Linked DNA regions of Ovis aries. The protein of the gene in region 1 purifies or fractionates together with the protein of each later gene. This does not show direct contact. Links are inferred from orthologs where the notes say so. Each region holds a gene or a part of one and is shown on either strand. Other genes may lie near its edges.

The links. Proteins that work in one complex are often made in the same cells at the same time.
Region 2: the proteins of SP1 (region 1) and CEBPB purify together in Homo sapiens (affinity purification with western blotting; 4 studies listed by BioGRID, with this or other methods). This does not show direct contact. The link is inferred for Ovis aries from reciprocal best matches to the Homo sapiens genes SP1 and CEBPB.

What each region holds. Positions count from the first base shown.
Region 1 is NC_056056.1:133,125,949-133,130,123, forward strand, and holds the start of SP1 (transcription factor Sp1), read right to left. Parts: upstream 2,865-4,175; 5' UTR 2,749-2,864; coding exon 2,742-2,748; intron 2,472-2,741; exon of another isoform or gene 2,331-2,471; intron 2,226-2,330; exon of another isoform or gene 1,776-2,225; intron 1,683-1,775; coding exon 1,528-1,682; intron 1,215-1,527; coding exon 1-1,214. UniProt on the Homo sapiens protein: Transcription factor that can activate or repress transcription in response to physiological and pathological stimuli.
Region 2 is NC_056066.1:78,225,782-78,229,455, reverse strand, and holds CEBPB (CCAAT/enhancer-binding protein beta), read right to left. Parts: upstream 2,475-3,674; 5' UTR 2,256-2,474; coding exon 1,203-2,255; 3' UTR 563-1,202; downstream 1-562. UniProt on the Homo sapiens protein: Important transcription factor regulating the expression of genes involved in immune and inflammatory responses. Also plays a significant role in adipogenesis, as well as in the gluconeogenic pathway, liver regeneration, and hematopoiesis.

The DNA.
Region 1 (4,175 bases):
GGCCCCACTGTTGGTGTCCGGATGATGATGGGGCCAGAGTTTGGAACAGCCTGAAGCTGAAGGTTCTGGAGGGTTTCCTGGGAGATAGCTTGAGTTGTAAAGGTCTGCCCTGACAATGGGGCGGCTTGGAGGGCCTGAAGAGCCTGTCCCCCTTGAACCAGCTGAGGCTGGATGAGAATTTGTTGTTGTTGCTGTGTCTGCTGGTTTTGCTCTCCCTCTTTTTGCTGACTTGCTTGCAGTGAACCTCCAGATGTCTGGTTCTGCTGGATGTTCAGAGTATCAGATCCCTGAAGCCCACTGACCCTCTGGGGTGTCTGGCTCTGAGAGTTGGTCCCTGCTGATCCGCTGGTGGTGAAGTTCATAATTCCCATGTTGCTGGTGGTAGTAGTTGTTGAGTAGCTATTGGCATTGGTGAAAAAGGAGCTGGAACTGGCTTGTGAAGATACCAAACTGGCAGAACTGATGGCAGTCCCTGAGGTGACAGGCTGTGAGCCACTCTCCTGGGACCCAGAGCTGCTGATCGTGACTGCCTGAGAGCTAGGAGTCAAGGTAGCTGCAGAAACGCTGTTGACAGGCAGCAAGGTGATATTCCCATTCAGGGCCACTGGTACATTGGTCACATACTGAGTCTGTCCTGAGAGTACATTATTAGCCAGGCCTTGAAGGGGGACAGCCTGCTGGAGTAGGTTTGGCATAGCAGCAATGATGTTGCCTCCACTTCCTCGATTTGTGATGATCTGTTGGTTTGCACCTGGTATGATCTGTATCTGACCTGAACCATCCTGCTGCACTTGGGCCCCAGTGGCAGCAAACTGCAGCTGTTGCCCATCAACGGTCTGGAACTGTGGGATTACTTGATACTGAATATTAGGCATCACTCCAGGTAGTCCTGTCAGGACTTGCTGGTTCTGAAGGTTGGAAGTGGCAGCCACAACATACTGCCCACCGGAGACCGTGCGATTCTTTGAAGACTCACTGCCATTGTTGCCGTTGGTACTGCTGCCACTCTGTTCCTTCGAGGTAGGGGTAGCCCCAGAGGAGGAAGAGATGATCTGCCAGCCATTGGCACCCTGGGAAAGTTGTGTGGCTGTGAGGTCAAGCTCACCTGTGCCCCCTGACTGGCTTGGGCCCTGGGAGTTGTTGCTGTTTTCATTGGGTGACTCAATTCTGCTGCAAGTTGCTGCCAGCAGAGCCAAAGGGGATGGCTGGGATTCCTGGCCAGAAATAAGGGAGAGGAAAGGAGTTACTTTAGTGATACCCATTTGCCAGACCAGGGGGCAGTGTAACAGCGCAAAAGGGGAAAAAAAAGAAAAACCCAACCAACCAAAAAGTTGGATCTATCTATACTGTTGAAACTCTCATTTAGGGGGATCTCCAAGTCACTTGTCTCTGTGCTTACTTCCCTATCTATAAAATGGTTTAGCCCTTCCCCAAAATTTTTTCTGTAAAAAGACAGTCATCTACAGTCATCTAAGGATATTTACAGCCTCTCAGCACCTTCCCCATTCTGTCAGGATCATCACTTACCTGCCCTCCTCCTCCGCTGCTGCTGCTACTGCCTGCGCTGCTGCTTCGAGCCTGAGAAAAGGCACCACTACCATTTCCATTGCCCCCGTTATTGCCACCAACTCCTTTTTCAATCTTCACCACTGCTGTCATTTCATCCATGGAGTGATCTTGGTCTAGAAATAATTTTTAAATAATTTAAAATTGGATAAAGCAAACTTAAAAAGTGAGAAAGGATAAAAGAAGCTGTGATGAAACAAATGACTAACAGGAAGGTGAAAGGCGCCAGTATTAAAAAAAGGATTCGGGGAGAAGGAACAGTTGCAGACCAGTAGGATGTGATCTAGGCTCAGTGATGCCAAAACTGGACCTCAATTCTCCCTTGCACAAAATTAAACTCAGAAAACATTGAAAAGGTGCTTTTGGTACAGGAAATACGAGGGTCGGCGGGCATGTTGAAAAAGTAACTTAGGGGGGAAAAAAGGATAGATAAGGCATAAAACATGTGGGTGGATGGAAAGTTTGCTAAAAACTAGGGTCAAAGGAAATGGAGAAAGAGAAAAACTCAAGTGTAAAAAGTAACAAGAGGAAAGGAGGAGAAAGGGGAAAAGAACAGATAAAAAGTTTGGGTGGGGAAACATTTATAAATACTAATAAGGGGCTAAAGAGGTCCAGGGGTTAGAAATCAAGCGATTCGGGGCGGCTAGAGGGCGGGCCCTAGAGGGAAAGGGCGGTTTCGGGGTGTGGGGCGTGGAAAGGGCGGGACGGTAGGGGGGAGGGGTAATTTACGGGGGGAGGGGTAATCTACGGCACGGGGGGAAGGGAGGAGGGCCTTGGGGCCGGCGGCGACCAGAGGGCGGACCAGGGAGGCGGTTGGCCCGGGCGGGGCCTGCTCTGCTCGGGCCGCCCCCGCGGCTCCAGCCCCCGGCAGGAGGAGCCTCAGGCGGGCAGCCGAGTAGTGGGGGGTAAGGCCCGTCCCCCGTGGCCGGGGCGGGCAGGGGGCGGGCGAGGCCACGCTGCCCCCTCCCCCGGGGCGGGTGGCCCATCCCCCTCCTCCTCCTCGGAGGCCCCGCCACTGCCCCTTCTCCCTCCCTTCCCTCCGCCCCGGGCGGGACCAAGGCCGCCGCCGCCGCCTCCCGCCCGCCCCCCCTCACGGCGGGGACCGCCCGGTCAGCCCTCGCGCGCGCCCCCTCACTCCCCTCCCACCCCTAAGCTTGGAGTGGACTCATCCTTACCGCTCATGGTAGCAGCTGAGGGACGAGCTCAAGGGGGTCCTGTCCGGGGGGGTTGGGGGGGGCCAGGAAAAACGCGGACGCTGACGAGGCAAGCGAACCCGGACCGGACAGGGAGGGGGGGGTAAGGAGGAGGGAGCAGCGCGCCACAAGCCCGGCCTAGGCCCCGCCTCTTTACTGCTGCCCCGCCCAATGAGGGAGGGAGAAAGGAGGGACTTGCAGAAGAAAGACGGACAGATTGCCCAATGCCAAGGCTCGCTTGCTCTCTAAGGCGTGTAAGACAAAGTTGCGTGCGTGGTGTCCGCCCCAAAAGATCGGCCTCTCAGTTTTAGAGGCCAATGAAAGAGGCAGGAAGTGAAGGTGGGCAGGAACTAAAGATGATGGGCTTGGGGAAGAAGCCAGTCAACTGCCAGGCGGGCTCCGTGAGTAGGAGGGATTGGAAGAGCTTTCATTGGAATGACAGAACAACAACCAACCAGAAGCTCGGACGTGCCTGGGCAAAGTCCTAGTGGGAGGAGATAAGAAGTAGACAGGAATGGGATAGGATGAAGCAGATCAAAACCAATCAGAAATCAGGCGGGCAGCCAGGAAAGTTATGATTGGATTAACACTGAAAAGAGACGCGATAGGACGCAAATTGACGTGTATAAAAGCCAATCCAAAGCCGCCTGAGCTCCGAGGGCAAGAACCTGGAGTGGGCAGAGGAGAATTGGCCTCTGCCTCAGTCGTTCGGTCCAATGAGGTGGCGCGGGGGAAAGTCAGCCACCGCCTCCACTTGGCTGATGGGCGTTACCAGAGCCGGGAGGAACAGGGCTGTGCCAAGAGGAGTCCGTCGCCATTTTGGCCCTCCTCTGGGGACGTCTTTACAGTGATTAGGTAGCAACGCTTCAGCTGAATCGTGCAGCTCAACAAGTGTCAGGCCGAGCCTCTCGGCGCAAAGTTTTGCTTTGACACCAAGGCTCCTTTGAGTCTTAATTTAACCGCTCTTAAAAGTACTTCTCGAGTCTCACCCCTTTAGGGGTGGGCGGAGAGGCAGGCGGATGCCTCTAAATGTGGTGTAAGCCCTGTGGGTACAGGCGCAAGAACTCTGGTGAGAGTTCTCACACAGCCAGTTAATGAGGTGACCGATTTGCGAGGTCTTTGTGAGACTCCAGCAAACGCCATTTTATTAAATTCTCCCAATTTGTCTGGTGCTGGCTACTTAAGGGGTTAAGTTTTCAACAGCTTGCATTTGGAGCTAAACTATGTTGGAGAACCTCCCATAATCAAGGTCTTATAAGCCACTTTCCGCTGCCGCTGCCGCCTTAATTGTAAATACGCTGTAAGCAAAGCAAAGTAGCAAAATAAAGTTCTTGCTTTTTGCAAGTGCATAAAAGGATTTTTCCTGAATTTCTGGCCTCCCATTCTGCCTTTCCTTTATCCTAGTTTTTGTGGCGG
Region 2 (3,674 bases), on another chromosome or scaffold:
CACTATTTTCTAAACACCATGCCCTGCTTCACTTTTCAAAACAGTCTGCTCCGATTTGGGCTCAGTAGGACCAAGACCTGTACCCCTTCTTTTTCAGAGTCACAGTCCCATGGGCTGGGTCCCCACGCGCTGTGCAGAGATCAGAACCCGCAAAGCCCCTCCAAACCCAAGCCCCGGACTCAGGACCAGCCAGAGGCCCTGCAGGCCCTCCCCAAGCAGGGCTCCTAGTCACTCCTCCCCAGCACTCAGCCGCACTGAGTCACCCTCAAAGCCTGACCCAGCACTCCTCTGCCCCTCCCCCGCGCCAGGCCTGATACCCCCATCTCCAAGCACAGGCCCTGGGGGTGGGGTTGAGGGGGGGAGTAGCAGAGGAGAATAAGCAGCTGCAACACCCCCACCCAACCACCTAAAATGCCAAAAATAACAGCAGCTCTCACTCACACACACACACACAACAACAACCCCCCACACACCAGAAAGGCAAATATAAATCCAAAATAAAGGGGAAGAAAAAAAAATCAAAGCCAACTACTGCCCCCAAAAGGCTTTTTAAACATTCTCAAAAAAAAAAAAAAGTTTATTAAAAGTGTTCTTAATGCTCGAAACGGAAAAGATTCCCAAATATACAGATGCCTCTTTTTTCATAGAAATAGATTTTTTTTTATAATACAAAAAAAAAAGGCCAAAAAAAAAAAAACACCAACAAAAACAAAAAACAACATCAACAGCAACAACCCCGTAGGAACATCTTTAAGCGATTACTCAGGGCCCGGCTGACAGTTACACGTGGGTTGCGTCAGTCCCGTGTACACACGCGTTCAGCCATGTTTAAACCGATTGCATCAACTTCGAAACCGGCCCGCCCGCCGGCGCCCAGAGAGGGGGGGTGGGCAGAATGAGAGGCAAGAGTTTATCATTCATCTGTACACATAGACATCTCTTCTTTAAATAACACCACGGGCGGGCGCCCCGTCTGCACGTGCGGCTGGTGTGGACAAAAATATAGATAGATATATATAATAAAATATTAAAATTACCGACGCGCTCCCCGCGCTGCCCAGTGCCCCAGTGCCAAAGTTCTGCCGGCGCCGCCAGGGGCGCGGGCGGGCGCGCGGGCGCTCCCCGGAGTCTCGGCGGCCGCGGCGCGCCCGGCAGCGCGGGGGCCGGCCGGCCGGCCGCGGGGGACGCGCACGGGGGCCGCGCTAGCAGTGGCCGGAGGAGGCGAGCAGGGGCTCGGGCAGCTGCTTGAACAAGTTCCGCAGGGTGCTGAGCTCGCGCGACAGCTGCTCCACCTTCTTCTGGAGCCGCTCGTTCTCGGCCGTGAGCTCCAGGACCTTGTGCTGCGTCTCCAGGTTGCGCATCTTGGCCTTGTCGCGGCTTTTGCGCACCGCGATGTTGTTGCGCTCCCGCCGGATCTTGTACTCGTCGCTGTGCTTGTCCACCGTCTTCTTGGCCTTGCTCTTGACCTGCGAGGGCGCCGGCGCCGCCCCCGCGTAGCAGGCGGCGGCGGCCGGGGGTGCCTTGGCGTCGGCGGGGCTCGGCGTGCCGGGCGGGCTGGACGACGAGGACGTGGACAGGCTCCCGCTGCTGCCGCTCGGCACCGCCTGGTAGCCGAGGTAGGCGCGCAGCGCGTACGGGAAGCCGGCCGCCATGCCCGCGGCGCCGCCGCCCGGAGCTCCGGCCTCCTCCTTCCGCTTGCAGTCCGCGGGCTCGAAGCCCGGCTCCGCCTTGAGCTCCGCCGGCGGCGGCGGCGGCGGCGGCGGCGGTGGCGGGTGCAGGGGTGCGAAGCAGCCCGGGTGCAGCGCGCCCTTGGCGGCCCCCAGGCGGCCCAGGCTCACGTAGCCGTACTCGGCCGCCTTCTTGCAGTTCTTGCCCCCGTAGTCGTCGGAGAAGAGGTCGGAGAGGAAGTCGTGGTGCTGCCCGGAGGAGGCGGGCGCGGGGGCGGGCGCGGGCGGAGCCGCCTCGAAGGTGTCCGTGGCCGTGGTGGGTGCCGGGGCCTGCGGCGCGCCCAGCGGCTCCAGGTAGGGGCTGAAGTCGATGGCGCGCTCGTGCTCTCCGATGCTACCCAGCTCGCCGGCGGGGGGGCGCGGCCCGGGTCTGGCCGCCGGGGGCGCCGCGGGGGCCGCCTTGCCGCCGTACGCAGCAGCCAAGCAGTCCGCCTCGTAGTAGAAGTTGGCCACTTCCATGGATTTAAAGGCGGGCGGCGGCGGCGGCAGGGGGAGACATGCTGGGTCCCAGGCCACCAGGCGTTGCATGAACGCGGGTGCCCGGGGAGGGGGCCTGGGGCTGCCCGCGCCGGCCGGCCCGCAGGTGGCGCGGCCTCCCGGCTCCGAACAGTCGCTGCTGTGTCGCCGCCGCTGCTGCTGCTGCTGCCGCCGCCGCTGCTCCGGGGTGGCCGCTATCAGTGCGGGGGGCTGCCGGCCGGACCCTCGGGTGGGTCCCCTTCCCGGTCCCGTGCGCGGCTCTGACTCGCTAAAGTTTCTCCCGAGCCCGTTTATTTATAAAGGCGGGCCATAGCAACGGCTGCGTCACGCCCGGCGGCGGCCCCTCCCTCCCCGGGCACGCAGAGGACACGCCGCGGCCGCCCGGGACCCCCGGCCGGGCGCCGGCGGGCCGGCCTGGAGACCCGGAGCGCGCCCCCGGGGGTCCCCCGGCCTGCGGGGCCGGGGTGGGGGGCGGCCTCGGGCCCCCGCCCTGTCCACTCCCACCCGGCGGCCCCGAGATGGCGAGCGCGGAGAGGCGCGAGCCCGCCCCCGGACCGCCCCCTCTGGGCCGGCCGGCGGACGAGAAGGGAGGGGGAACCCGGGGAGGGGGCCGGGCGGCCGTCTGCTCCCACCCTGAACGCGGCCGCCGCCCGCCCCCTGCTGGAGGAGGCGCTGGCCTTCGGGAGCCGCGGCCGCCGGACCTGGCTCTCCAGGGAGGGGGCGCGCCCCTCTCCCCCCAGCCAGGGATGCTGGAGACCCCAACCCCCTCCAGCTCGGACTCCCGGAGGGGTGAGCCGCCTCCACAGCCCTCCCCCGAGTGCGGCCTCGCCGCTAAACTGGCACCCCTCCCCAGATCTGGACAGGAGGGACTCACACCTGCGGTGACTCCCCTTCTGAAATAGGAAGACCTGGGGTTGGGGGCTTGGGGAGGTGCAAACAAGGGGGCGAGCGCCCCTCCCCCGGCCCCGCCCCCCGCACCTGCCTGCTCCCTCCCCCTCGGACCACACCTGGGTCTTCTCCAGCCCCACCCCGCCCTGACCTGGGGCCCCCTCCCCGGAGGGTGGAACGGGGGTGGGGTGCCCCCCGACCACACGCTGTGTGACCTTGGACTAGTCACTTGGCTTCTCCAAGTTTAAGTCTGCGAGGGTGTCCTTACTGTTATCTTTATTAGTTGTATTAACTGTCTCCAACGCAGACTCCCAAACGCTCACCGCTCTGGGACACACATCAGAAAGAAGGGCCTCTTCCCAGTACAAAGAGGCCCAGAGGCCCACAGCACACCCAAGATCACACAGCTTCATGTTCCCCACTGTTCTCAAAAGAAAAGCCCTTATCCAGGCACCCTCAGAGCTGTTCGTCATCCCCCTCCCAAAGCACCTGTATCTGAGGCTGGTGGGTGGGGGTCCAGGCAGGACCCAGGGGGCCATGCAGAAGGGAGGAAGGAGTTCTCCTCTTTTAGCAGGCCCCTGC